2 linked regions of the Mus musculus genome follow. Each later gene encodes a partner of the first gene's protein in a complex. Each region holds a gene or a part of one and is shown on either strand. Other genes may lie near its edges.

The links. The genes of interacting proteins can lie anywhere in the genome.
Region 2: the proteins of Ptprg (region 1) and Cntn6 are in contact, whole or in part, in a crystal structure (PDB 5E5U), measured with the Mus musculus proteins. Residues at the interface, in NP_033007.2 of Mus musculus: Val225, His226, His227, Lys229, Phe288, Thr290, Gln292, Gln293, Asp294, His295, Val296, Lys297, Ser298, Val299, Glu300, Tyr301; in NP_059079.2 of Mus musculus: Arg129, Val132, Arg135, Gln138, Gly139, Val140, Val141, Leu142, Leu143, Cys144, Gly145, Met222, Gly223, Tyr225, Glu226, Pro227, Lys228, Glu230, Leu252, Asn306.

Annotation. Positions count from the first base shown.
Region 1 is NC_000080.6:12,149,782-12,156,869, reverse strand, and holds part of Ptprg (receptor-type tyrosine-protein phosphatase gamma isoform 1 precursor), read right to left. Parts: intron 4,855-7,088; coding exon 4,805-4,854; intron 3,213-4,804; coding exon 2,444-3,212; intron 1-2,443.
Region 2 is NC_000072.6:104,857,890-104,865,340, forward strand, and holds the end of Cntn6 (contactin-6 precursor), read left to right. Parts: intron 1-1,489; coding exon 1,490-1,602; intron 1,603-3,914; coding exon 3,915-4,083; intron 4,084-5,237; coding exon 5,238-5,338; 3' UTR 5,339-5,517; downstream 5,518-7,451. UniProt on the Homo sapiens protein: Contactins mediate cell surface interactions during nervous system development. Participates in oligodendrocytes generation by acting as a ligand of NOTCH1.

The DNA of each region.
Region 1 (7,088 bases):
TGAATGCATGCAGTCCAACTCCACCCCTTCTCTTAAAAGAGGAAACACACTGGCTCATGCCACACCACTATGCCCATCTGTACACACAGGAAAAGTTAATGGCACAAGTCACTTCTCTTGCTGGTATTTATCCCTGGGTTTGCCATTTCAGTTAAAATCTTACCCTCAGCCTAGCTAACGCTCCCTTCACTATCTTGGCTTTCCCAGTGTTTGAACTCCATCCTTATTACTGCTTCTTCCTCTCTGTGGTCCACTTCGGCTTCTAAAGCCATCCAAACTCACTCCTGGTTTAGGTTCTCTCCTCCTGCCATTCCAGCAGCCTAGAATGTTCTTCCATGGGTCTGTGAGTGGCTAACTACCTACACTGGTCCCACTGCAAATGCTATTTAAGGTCACTCAGTTTTTGCTGCGGGATCCTAAACCTTTCCCATGAACATGTACCCCCAAGAGAATAGAAGTCTCCATCAATGGTCTTTTCCTAATGCCTTGTCTAGAGCCTGGCATCCAGTAAAAAGGAACTCCTTATTTATTATATTTAACTGCAAGAAATTCAACTGTTACCCAGCAGTTTCTCAGGGAAATGTCTAGTTTACACAACAGCACCATCCATGGCTCCACATTTCCTTCATCCATACAAGGCTCCTGTGCCTTTCCATCAAACTGCCCCACACTTAACAATACCCATGGGAGACCCCTTCTTAGGAAAAAAATTAGTTCATAGCAGCTCTGAGGGAAAGTAATTCAACACATGAAAATGTATTCTAAGTTGTATGTTAACATACGAGATCTCAGCTTTAGATGAATTTTAATGTTTACAAGTGCAAAAGCAAATAAATATTTACCAGTTGCCTTTTTTTTTTGCACTCATAATTCCACAACAGCTTAAATGAAAAAAACATTGTTGCTAAATGTCTTGCAGTCTGGCAACACGAAGGGTTTCTTATTAAGAAAAGCCCTCACAACAGTCACAGCCCCTCATGCCATAGCACAAGCGTCAGGATGGTTCATTAAGATCTGAGCATGTGACATCCACAATGGTGTCAACTACCTGAGGATCCCAGGGAGTGGGGGCCAAGCCGGCCACGTCTGCTTCCCCAGCTGGAAATGGGGAATTGCATGTAGCCACCTGGGGCTTAAGGACAGCCAGCTTTCCAGCCACGTCTACTTCCCCTGCTATAGATGGGGTCATTCATAAGGCTACCCGTGACTTGTCACAGCTACCCTTACTGATGAGGTATGATCATGGACTACTAAAGCCAGGAGGCTCCAGATTGGACATGTCACTTTTTCTCATTTAGGGTGGGTCTCTATCCTCCTCATAACTGTCAGTCACAACATCCTAACTATATCTTTTATCATTCTTTCATAAGCAAACATCCCAGTTGGGTAGTTTCCTGTCTTGCCAAAAACACACATGTCAGCAGCTTGTTCTCCAACATCCCTGCTACCTAACTCCTTGGAATGTACTCTAGCAAGCTGCCATCAGTCATCTTTCTGTCATCCCCCTCTGCCAGGATGCAGGTAAGGAGTTCCCCTGGCAGATTATCCAGCCTAGTGCCTAGCACAACAATAGCTACCAGGAAATAAATTGTTTGTATTTAATAAATGATTAAGGAATAAAAGCATGTGTGTGTGTGTGACTGTATGTGTGCATGTGTGTATGCATGTGTGAGTGTGTGTGCATGTGAGTGTATGTGTGAGTGTGTGTATTTGTGTGCATGTGTATATGTGGGTGTGAGTGTACATTTGTGTATGTGGGTGTGTGGGGTGTTTATGTGTGCATGTACGTGTGTGAGCACTCAAGTTTGTGTATCATGTATACATGCATGTGAAAACTGGAGAACAACTTTGGATGCTGACCCTCAAGAGCCACCCATCTTGGCTTTTGAGACAGGTTCTTTCACTAACATAAAACTCACAAAGCTGGCTATCTGGCCACTGAGTCCCAGGAATCTGCTTGACTCTGTCCACCAACTGCAGCAGTTACAAGTGCATGTAACTGTGCTTTGCTTTAAAAAACAAAACAAAACATAGGATTGGGGCTCCAACTTCATGCTTTTGAGGCAAGTGATCCACAGTGGTGTCAACTCCCTGAGGATCCCAGGGAGTTTCCTTTGGCTATTACCCTCCCCACCCGCAGGAATAAAGTCAGAGTGAGCAAACTTAGATCCAGTGCCTACTTTCTTCATTTAGATCTGTCTGAGGCCTTGGCTTCTTCTGAAATAGACAGAAAGATAGAGAAAGACTTGTTCCAGTGAGAGAATGCATCTCATTAGGGTGACACAAAAAGAGGTGGTTTCATGCATAGAACACCAGGGACACGGATAACCCCAAGGAGCTAACTACTTCCCCAGTCCTCATTCTCCAGGTCCCCAACGTTTAGAAATAGGTCCAGCCTGTTCACAGCAGCCCCAAACCTCACATGTGGACCAACCCCACTTACCTGGGTTAACTGTGATGAATTTGCTATCCTCAGAAAATCGGTCCCCTCGGGACATAGGCTTTTTAGATGGCATTTCGGGCCTCCTGGGATCACTCCCTGAATAATGTTCCTCTGTGGCTGTTGGGGGCACTTGGGTGGCTGTGTCCACAAGGGGATCCAAGTCTGGGGCAACGTGGCCCGGCTGGTCTGTGGCAGGGGCAGAGTGGTCCTGCCTGCGCCCAGGTATAGTCTGATGTCCTCCCTCCGCTGCAGTCCTATGAGGGGAAGAGGGGGTGGGGGCAGGTGCAGTCCGGTCACTCTCTGCGGCTGTGTGAGTAGCCTCACTCTTCTCCTTCTTCTCAGAGTCCTTCTCTTCCTCCTCATGCTCTCGCTCACCATCCTCGCTCTCGCTTTTCTCCTCCTTCTCTCCCTCCTCTGTACCCTCGCTGTCCTTCGTCGGTGCCGAGTCGACATCCGGCCCAGGGGAAGCTAAGGCCTCGGTGGTGGCAAGAACTGTCCTCCCTGCCTGCTTGCTGGCTGCAGATGCGGTGGGAAGGCGCGTGGGCCACACGGTACTGGGGAAGGAGGAGATGCCACCACCACCGAAGCCCAGGCCTGCCAACAGTGTGCTGGTGACCACAGAGGCCACTGTAGCTTGGCTGCCACTGGAGGAAGGGCCCATCCCAGTTGCCATGGAAACAAATGAGAAGGGGATGCCGGAGGATGTCCAAGTGGAAGAGCCAGAGCTGATGGGGGCCATGTCTGCTGAAGAGGCAGGAGAGGCTGTCGGCTGAAAGGGCCACCCAGGGTGTGGAGAAAAGGAGATGAAGAAAAAATGTAGAGTGTATCAGTAACCAAGAATCAACTCGAGGCCCTGTTCTGCAAACACCCAGATTGTAGTCTCCTCTGTTATGAGTTTTCATAAGCTACAGTGTGAAAGCTGACCAGTGCTGGCCCAGGGTGACCAAGTCTTACTTCAGTGGCTTTAAAATTACTTTGAATTGAAACCTTAACTAGTGTATCGAACTCAGGTGTTCTCTGATGTGGCTCAGGGCTGGCCTAGATGGGGAAACAGAAGCATTACGAGTAAGTCATAAAATGTCCAGGTCAACCCATCATGGGGAGGGGGTGGTGAGAGGCAGGAGTCAATGTGTGCTGTTTTGCAGGTGACTGCCTAGCTCTGAGATGTGGAAAATCAGCAGACAGAGTCAAGGCCACTGTCATACAGCAAGGAAGTCAACAAAGCCAGAGGGAGGGTAGCCAGCCCAGGTCAGCAATGGCAGTGGCAGAAGCGGCAGGCATACTCTGGACATGGGATTGAAGACGTAGTTCCTGTCTCTGCAGCTTCTGGTTGCATGCAGCCCAGCTATAGAGCCTTTGGAGTGTCTGCATTTCTCCACAGTACAGACTCTGCCTCTGCGCCTGCAACACTCAGGGTGACAACAGGCACTCCTCTTAGGATGTGCCACCCCTGTGCTGGGGCTCACCATGCTACCCATTCTCTGGGTAGGGAAACTGAGGTGTGTAGGGGATAGGGAGCTTATTCAAAGTGCATGACTGTGAAGCCTCGGTGGCAGGGCTGCACGTGGACAAACCTCAGCTCATCCTTTCCTTATGCTGAACAGGGGCATACTCATATACGGCATCTTCTACCCAAACCAGGATGTGTTCGGGGATAACAGCACAAGTTCAGCCCTTACAAGCAGGCACAGAAAACCCCAAACTATACCTCACTACTTATACTAGTATAAACAGTTAATCAGAGCAAGACACATTTTGGAACTTCATTCAACTTCACATGGAAACCTTACAGTTTAAGGATAGCCATGAGTACCAAAAATCAACTCTCACATAAGACTAAGCGCCAAACACAGAAAAGCCCTTCAACTGAATGTTGAGTTGACTCCTTGCCTCACTGTGTGATGATGGGCCCATCTGTTTAACTCAGTTTCTTCACCTTCACCCTAAGGTCTTTGAAGATGCAAACAGAATAACTTGTGTCTGAAAACTGGGATGTACTTAGTGAGTTTCAGGCTACAATTATCCCAGCGCTGGTCATTTCTTATGAGTAGATGTGGGCGACAACCTCTTCATTGCACCATAAGGTGAGTGAAGGGCTCTGAGTGGATGAACTCCTGTATCACTTGATTCTGGCGGTCATTCATAATTACATATCTGAAATATTTTTATTTTGACAAAATTATACATCAGAAGCCACCAATATTCCTCCATGGCACAGTAAATTATACAGCAAAATGCATGCTTATCTCTGAAGGGCTGTATGTGTGCAGTTCAACAACATTATGCTGACACCTTGTGGTCACAGCTTTGACTGCATCCAAATTACCACTTGTAACAGAGCAGCCAGCGTTCTCCACTTACCACTCCTGTTTTCACAATCCTGGTCCCTTGGAAGATCCGGGTAGTATTAGCTGAGAAACAAAGAAGTTATGATGTAAACAACACACAATGCTCAGATGTGCTCCCAATAAAACCTTCCAATGGACACACAAATCTAAACTACACATAATTTTCATGTTACAAATATTATTTCTTTGTACTCTTTCCAACCATTCCCCCTCCAAGTCATACAGACATATTCAGATGACTGGGATCTAGCCAACTGTTTCTGCCAAGCAATTCACCTAAACTCTGTAATTATTAAGGTTTTGTTTCATTGAGATAGAACTTCAACAACAGTGAGATGCCCAGGATTCGATTACATCTAACACCTGAGCAACTACATTAAGGTGCATTTTCTTTCTTTTTAAAAATGATTTATTTATTATGTATACATAATTTTGCCTGCAGGTATGCCCGTAGGGCAGAAGAGGGCACCAGATCTCATTACAGACGGTTGTGAGCCACCATGTGGTTGCTGGGAATTGAACTCAGGACCTCTGGAAGAGCAACCAGTGCTCTTAAACCTCTGAGCCATTTCTCCAGCCCAGGAAGCATTTTCAAGTACTGTTGGGTTTCTGGGTTTCATATATTTTTATTTAAATGGGATTATATCACTCCAGTGTTTTTTCTCTATTGCCCCTTTGTTCACTATTTCTCATCCTTTCAATGACTCTAACATGTATCTTTAACTTACAACAATTTACTATTTTCTTTCTTTCTTTTCTTTCTTTCTTTCTTTCTTTCTTTCTTTCTTTCTTTCTTCCTTCCTTCCTTTTTCTTTCTTTCTCTCTCTCTCTCTCTCTCTCTCTCTCTCTCTCTCTCTCTCTCTCTCTCTCTCTCTCCTTCCTTCCTTCCTTCCTTTTTTTTTTTTTCTTCAGGACAGGGTTTCTCTGTGTAGCCCTGGCTGTCCTGGAACTCACTCTTTAGACCAGGCTGGCCTCAAACTCAGAAATCCGCCTGCCTCTGCCTCCCAAGTGCTGGGATTAAAGGCGTGTGCCACCATACCAGGCACTTTACAGTTTTCTAAATCTGTATTACATTTATGTATATATTTATTAGAAGGCTGGGAATGGGATGTATGTGGGAGAGGGGGGTGCACACGGTGGAGCAACTTGGCGAAGTTGGTTCTCTCAGTAAATCACGTGGGTCCTGAGGACTGAGCTCAGCTCATCAGGTCTGGCTGTAAGTGCCTTCACAAATGGGGCCATTTTGCCAGCCCTATAGTCTATCTTGAATTAATCCTTTTACTTTCCCAGCAACGCCTCTATTGCTCCTCTCATTGTGTACTGCTGGGTACTCTCTTCCTGCTTGTATCTGATAGTCTCTACATAAGTTTTACATGGTCACATGAGTTTATCTTCAATGCTTGTTGCCCTATCTGGTGTTCATGCTTCTTACAGCTCTGCTTTCCTATGTGGGTGTTCTTAAGCAATGCCACCTTGGTGTCTATCAAGTTGTATGAAGAGGCAAAGAATATGAAATTTATCATATTAGTCATTTTTAGTGTCTGCACCAGTAATGTTCTGTGTATTTGCTTTACTGTGTAACTGACCTCTCCACCATCTATCTCCAGAACTTCCTTATCTTGTAAAATGAAACTCCAGGTACAAACTCACCAACTCATTTCCTTTTACATGATCTCTGGGGACCACCATGTAGTGGTGTTTTCTATTTTTGTGTGTGTGACTACTCTAGAACTGCATATACATGTGATCATGCATATTTGTATTTTGTGACTGATGTATTTCACTTGGCATAATGTCCTTAAAGTCACCACTGTAATGAAGGCATAGACCAGAATTAAAAAAAAATTTTTAAATGCTCAATAATTGTCTCTATCACACCTGTTTAGATATTCACCTCTTGATGGACAATTTGCTCCTAAATAATGCTAAACATCATAACTTATAAAAGGAACAAAATCCTTTTTTGTGGCTAATAGGGGCATTTTAAAAACTAAAGATCTGCCTCATATACACACAGAATCAAAACACTGAAAAAAATGCCAGTTAACATTTGCTATGCTTTTCTCCTAATCTAGAAATGGCAAGGAACCTACACACATTTCTGTTTGCCCTACAAATTTAAAACAAAACAAAACAACAACTCCCAAATCCCAAACCACCCTGTCTTTGTTATTAACTTCAGAGAGTCAACTGTTCCTCTTCTTGGACGAATGGTGTCTGTTTTATCACACATGTCCTTGACTGGTGCCATGGACACCTGAGTTCACAATCTCTTGCCTAATGGTGTACTCATTTTG
Region 2 (7,451 bases), on another chromosome or scaffold:
CAGGAGCAGGTTTGGGAGGCCATTAGCAATGCTCCTAGTTCAGTATGTTGAGCATATTCTAGTGATACATAAGACATTAAATAGCAATTGATTCCATGTGCTCAAAGAAGTTGTAGTTGTTTCCATCATTGTTCTAATGAGTTAAATGCTAGATTCTTTATACACCACACATTCAGAAAAGGAACAACTTGCTGGGCAGTTTGATCTCTGTCTCGGCTTTCCAGTTGAACCATTTTTAAATCTCTCCTTAGTTTTTCTCAGTCTTGAAATAAGCATGTCATCCCTTTGAATAGCAGCATGTTGTCATGGTGAAACCATTGGACACTGGACAAGAACTAATAGTCCTACAATCTGTTCTGACTCAACTACTTGTTCGTGGTATACTTTGGGACAAGTGACTTTTTACTCTATAAGTCACATTACAGGTATCATATGTAAATAATTAAAAATTGAACTGCATCTAGTATTTTAGAATGATAATTCTACATCCTCCTTTCCATATGTGATACTCCTCTACTCGAACACAACATTAATTTCAAAGGACCGGGTTCAGAATAAGTGTTATTTGGAGTGATCAATGTATTTGCGAAGATTTTTCTCTGTTTTCTGTTCTCAGAGCATTATTAATAGTATAAAGAATAGTTTTTTCAGTGCACAGCCACCTTTGCTTGAACTATCATAAATATGTATCCAAATTAAGGCCTGTAGTCATATGATTGACAACCACCAGATTTTTTTTAAGAATTTTTATCCTGGGCTATCCTATATAGAAGAATGTTCAAGCTTTTTGTACTGTTCACAGTTGTGATTTCAGTCACACACATTGAATGACAAGTAGTCTATATGGGCAACTGGCCAAGGAACATGGCCATGCAATAAGAGGCCCAGAAGGAATGTGTTCACTTGGTGACTCTCCTTCTCTTGAGGCTCTGCAGCATTCCGGCAGGGATCTAAAAATTATCCTATAAATATGCATTTCATATTTCATGTGTGTTATTTTGCTTAAAGTATCTTAAATTGATTTTGTTAACTTCACTGAAAAACAGTAATATAGCATTATGGATTTGATGAGCATTCACAATGAACTGTATATAAAAAGCATGAACACAATATTTATGTGACTATGCATCTATATAGAATGCTTCAAACTTTAGTTAGCATTAATAGCCAATTTCAAAATTATATAACCCAATCCTCCATCTTTTTCTATATTGTAAAGTAAGCAAACTTAATATCAATGATTAATATATTAATACTGGACAGTCAGCAAACTATTATTAATTCATAAGTCTGTCACAAAGACCTTCCCAAATAATCAAAATTTGAATAAATTTGCTTGCTATGATTAGAATCAGTATGATATTTAAAATAACAATAAACCATTTCATTCCTTTTACGCTAATGATGGGATTTTTACTTTTCTTGTCATGAGGCTGCATTATACTGTTAACTAATTAATATTCATTTGGATCTTTATTGTATTTTAAAGCTCCTAGCCAACCACCAGCAAACATTGCCTGGAAGCTGTCAAATTCTAAATTATGCTTGAACTGGGAGCATGTAAAAACCATGGAAAATGAGTCTGAAGTGCTGGGCTACAAGGTAAGTATTTACTTTTTTATTTAATCTAATATGTTATTAAAGATTCAGCAATGTCATAATCAAGAAGAAATGAAATTTGTACCTATGTATCTATTAGAATTAAAATACTTTTCAATCTACTCTTGCTTCTCTTTTTAAATTTTATTTTATTAGATTTTTTATTTATTTACATTTCAAATGTTTTTCCCCTTCCCAGTTAAATCCTCTATTGCCACCTCTTTCTCCCTGCTTCTGTGAGAGTATTGCCTCCCTCACCTGCCATTCCCACCTCAGTGCCCTAGCATTTCCCTAGTTGGAGGTGGTCATCGAACCTCCAGAGGACCAAGGAGCTCCCCTCATGTTAATGTCAGATATGGTAATCCTCTGCTACATATGCATCTGGAGTCATGGGCACCTGGAGCCCTCCATGTGTACTCATTGGTTGCTGGTTTAGTCCTTGGCAGCTTGATGTTGATGTTCTTCCTATGAGTTTGCAAACCCCTTCAGTTCCTTCAGTCCTTCCCCTAACTCCTCCACTGGGGACTTATGCTTATTCTGATGGTTGGCTGTGTGCATCCATATCTGTATTGGTCAGGCTCTGGCCCAGCCTCTCAGGGGACAGCTACCCTATGCTCCTGTCAGCAAAATCTTCTTGGAATCAGCAATAGTGTCTGGGGTTAATGTCTATAGATGGGATAGATTCCCTAGGCAAGGCAGACACTGGATGGCCAGTTTCTGTTCCACTGTTCGTCCCTGCATTTCCTTTTGACAGGAGGAATCCTGGATTACTCTTTTTGAGATGGGTGGGTGGTCCCATACCTTAATTGGGGGTAGTTCCTATCCACTGGATATGGTCTCTGCATGTTCTCTTTCCCCTTTGTTGGGTATTTCTGCGAATGCCATAACTGTTGAGTCCTGGAAACCTCTTGGGTCCCTGTCATCTGGAACTTTCTAGTGGCTACCAAGTTCTCCATTCACCACTGCTACACACCTCCATTCAATTTCCTGATCCACTGAACTTTTCCTTTTTCTCCTCCCACACTTGATCCTGCTCCCTTTTCCCTTCCCTCCTCTCTCCCTCCCAGACCTCTCCCTCTAGATACCTCCCATGATTATTTTTCCCCCTTCTGAGTAGGACTGAATCATCCATATTTTGGTCTTCCTTCTTCTTGGGTTTCATATGATTTGTGAGTTGTATTGTGAGCATTCTGAGCCTTTTTGTTTGTTTGTTTGTTTGTTTGTTAATATCCACTTATCAGTGAGTATACACCATGTGTGTTCTTTTATGACTGGGTTACCTCACTCAGCATGGTATTTTCTAGTTCCGTCCACTTGCCTGTGAATTTCATGAAGCCGTTGTTTTTAATAGCTGAGTAGTACTCCATTGTGTAAATGTACCACATTTTTCTGTATCCACAGTTGAAGGACATTTGAGTCCTTTCCATCTCCTGGCTACAATAAATAAGGCTGTTATGAATATAGTGGAGCATATGTCCTTGTTGTATGTTGGAGCATATTTTGGTTATATACCCAGGAATGGTGTAGCTGAGTCCTCAGGTAGTAGTAGTATGTCCAATTTCCTGAGGAAACATCAGACTCCTTTCCAGAGTGGTTGTACCAGCTTTCAATCCCACTAGCAATGGAGGACTGTTGCTCTTTCTCTACATCCTTCCCAGTATCTGCTGTCATCTGAGTTTTCGATAAACATTGTATGTTCTAGTTTCAGTAACGGATATGGAGTAACATGGTATGGAGAATAAAAAATCTAAGTCCTACAGTATGAAATCATTTTTCTCCACATGATTGCTTTTGCTATCAAGAAATTACAGGTTTTTATTGTAGATGCAATTCATGATTGATGTTAAGGAGTAAGTTTAAATGGAGTATAAAAAAATTAGGACACAGTAGATATGGGCTTTTAACAGCACAAAAGGAATCTCACAAGAATATTATTAAGTATTAAGAGCATCTCTGAGTGCCCAGGGTAAGTGATCCCCATTAGTGTTAATGTAAATTAACTCTGGGCAGACATACATATTCAGACATTTGTAATGGATCCAAACTGAAAGTGTGTTTTCATAGTAATCCCTATAACTAATGTACTCAAACTCCATACCTGAGACATGGATCCCAAAGAAATATTATTTCCCAATAATAAATGTAATGATAAGCCAACCTGAATGTTTGCATGTAAGGAGTACAATGTTGATAATGGTTCTTTTAACATAAGTGAGAGCATTGATTTAAACTTGTTCCTTGTCCCTCATCATAACAGCATCTGAACCCTCAGTACCCACCAAACCCATCTGAACTTGACTCTCCCTTTCGTACAGATCCTCTATCGGCAGAACCGACAGAGTAAAACTCATATTTTGGAAACAAATAATACATCTGCTGAACTCCTGGTTCCATTTGAAGAAGACTATTTGATTGAAATCAGAACAGTCAGTGATGGTGGAGATGGAAGCAGCAGTGAGGAAATCAGAATTCCAAAAATGTCAAGTGAGTTGAGTTGCTGCTTTGTCTGATCTGGGCACCTGCAGCACAAATGTTCCCAGGGACTTTCAGGTTGTTAAGTAAATGTTTTGTGACAAAGCAAAAGGTCTGTGCTTCCATTTTCAATTGTGAGCCAAAAGTGACAAGCCAGTTTTTCTCATAACAATGGGTAGGCGTTTTTACAATTTTCTTTTTTTTTTATTATGTATTTTCCTCAATTACATTTCAAATGCTATCCCAAAAGTCCCCCACACCCTCCCCCCTCCCACTCCCCTACCCACCCATTCCCATTTTTTGGCCCTGGCGTTCCCCTGTACTGGGGCATATAAAGTTTGCCTGACCAATGGGCCTCTCTTTCCATTGATGGCTGACTAGGCCATCTTTTGATACATATGCAGCTAGAGTCAAGAGCTCTGGGGTACTGGTTAGTTCATAATGTTGTTCCACCGATAGGGTTGCAGATCTCTTTAGCTCCTTGGATAATTTTCTTATTTGAAAACAAAATAATAAATAAATAAATAAATAAATAAATAAATAAATAAATAAGGTAGAAGGAAATGAAGTTAAGAAAGAGAAAGTTAAGAATAAAATCAAAGAAAATTAATGAAAAGAAAAAGGGAAATAATTTCATGATTCACTATTTTTGCACAAAATGTAGGATTTTTTTTCTTTCAAATGGTCAAAGGTCTCAAAGAAGAAACAGTGAAATTGAAGCATCTATCCCTATGTGGTTCTTTCTATGTCCGTGGCAAACATCAACAATCGGTCATAGCATTTATACTAAGCTGAAGGCTTCTCAATCATGGTGAAAGGAGGCCAGTTCCACAGTTATCAAGTAATACTAACTACTAGTTTTGCATTTAAAGCATCAAGTTCACATCTTCATGAAACTTCTAAGTAGAAGTCATTGGTCACCAAATGTTGGCCAGTTCTAATATAATTTCAAGTAGTCCTCACCAATTTGGGCACTTTTACTATTCATTTTTACATTTGAGGTGGCATCTTATAATAGGAGGAGATGTGTCTTAAATTTACATTTAATATAGTAAAATATTATTATTAAAAAACAAACATGACAGCGTAATTTCTGTCTCATGAAATTAATACAGTAGGCAGTTTTACGTCCTGTGAGGTAATTCTTTGATTTTTGTATTTTCCAGGTTTGAGTTCCACAGGAGTTCAGATCTCGAAGCCCAGCACCCAGTCCCTGTCAATGGTTGGGGTTTTTTACTGTTTTGCTATTCACCCACTTTCGAGATGAACCAATCCATGGATCTTTGGGAATTTTCTGAGAGCAAACCATTCTGTAAATCCATTCTCCAGCCTCTATCACAAGACATATTCTTAATACAGACTTGTTTGGAAAGAAGAAAATGTATATTACTAAGCTCTTGTAAATATCTGTGGTACATTAATAAAACAGTTTTAAACACTTTGAAACACTTTGAATTTTAATGTTCACACATCATTACACATTTGAGGGTGCCAAATTAATCGGAGGACATAAAACTGCTGTGTCTTTCAGGTGACTTATAAGAAGAATATAAATAACCACCTCAATAACGATTATAGATATGAGACAGGTGTAAATTCATGTCCATTTTATGTGCTCCAGGTAATATACTTCACTATTTACAGTCCTTAGCACCATTTGAAAGAAAATACAATGGCTTGTTTATAGTTGTATATATCTCCCAGAGATCATATTTTCCAAATCCTGGTGCTGCAGTTTCTGAATCCAGTTAGAAAAAATGGTTAGACTTGACAAAATGTTGGTATGCACAGTGATCTTTCTTCTTGGGTTTTATAAGAAAAGAGCAAATACAGAAGTTTTAGGCAAGGAAACAGAAATGAAGAGAAACCAGGACTCATTGAAAATAACAAGTTTTCCCCTAAATTTACATCTAGTGAACAAATCCCTGGGACATCTTATAAACTGATTATACTCTACATGGCCTTACTTTTACATAGTAATAAAAATCTGGAAACAGATTTATTTGATAAGATTCCCTACATTTTATTCACAGTGATCTTCTCTCTCTTTTTTTTTAAATCAAACTTTTCTTTGATCATTACTATAATCGTGATTGAAAACTCCTAGTGTGATGAATCTGGTTTTAGTGAGATTCTGTGCGCTAACTCTGCTCTAGGGATAATCAATCCCAGTAACAGCCCCAGCCCTGCATGGTCCCGAAGCACAGTCTGCAGAGAAGAGTAAGGCGAGTGCCAGTGTTCTGACCCTTCTGTTTTGCCCACTACAATGACGGATTTCCTGCTGCTGTTGACTTGCTCCACTGATTTTCTTTCTGGAAGACTGGATTTCACTTTTTCACATGGTTTAAGGTTTTATTTAAAAACAACACAACAACTTGAAATTTTCTTATAGTCCACAAGTCATGAACTCTTCATAAGTTGAATATGCATACATATATATATGTTCTTTTATTGAGATTTTCATACATGTATATCAAGTGCCTTGGTCAAATTGATCCTAATTCCCTCCTCTCTGATTCTTTCCTCTATACATCACCACCAATTTTCTTCCCCACTTCTTAGTTCCTGCTCTCTTCTTCTTTAAGCCCCTTGAGGTCCTTTAATGCTACTCATTTGTGCATGGGTATGTGAAAATCTGTTGAGGAATGGATAGCCAATCCGGGTCCAACTTCTGAAAACTTATTTTTACTTCACAGCAGCATCAGTTGCTAATAAATAGCCTTATAGTTAGGGGTGAAAATCAAGAACTCCTCTTCCATTCATGCTGGGAATTTTTCTGGCTTCATCGTGTTCAGATTTTGTACTTGCCGTCAAAGCCTGTTACTGAGTTCTTGTGTGATGGTTCTGTCATGTTTGCAAATAGTTTTTCATTTTTTTTTTTTGATATTTACTTATTTTTTTACTCTCAATATTTTATCCTCATATTTAATATGTCAACCGTTTTACTGTTCCACATCTCATACCTCCTCCCCATCCCTCTGAGTCCTGGTGGATGTCCCACTGTCCACCTCACCTGACCTTTAAACTCCCAGGGGCCTCAAGTCTCTTGAGGGTTAGGTACAGCATCTCTGAATGAACACAGACCTGGAAATCCTCTACTGTATGTGTGTTGGGAACCTCATATCAGCTGGTGTATTCTGTCTTTTTTGATGATCTAGTGTTTGAGAGATCTCAGTGGTCCAGTGACACATTTCTTGCAACAAGGCCACACTTCCTAATAGACTTCCTAATTAAGACTGCTGGTCCTCCTACAGGGTTGTCCTCCTTCTCGGCTTCTTTCAGTCTTTCTCTAATTCAACAACAGGGTTCAGCTGCTTTTGCCCATTGGTTGGATGCAACTATCTGCCTCTGACTATTTCAGCTGCTTGTTGGGTCTTTCG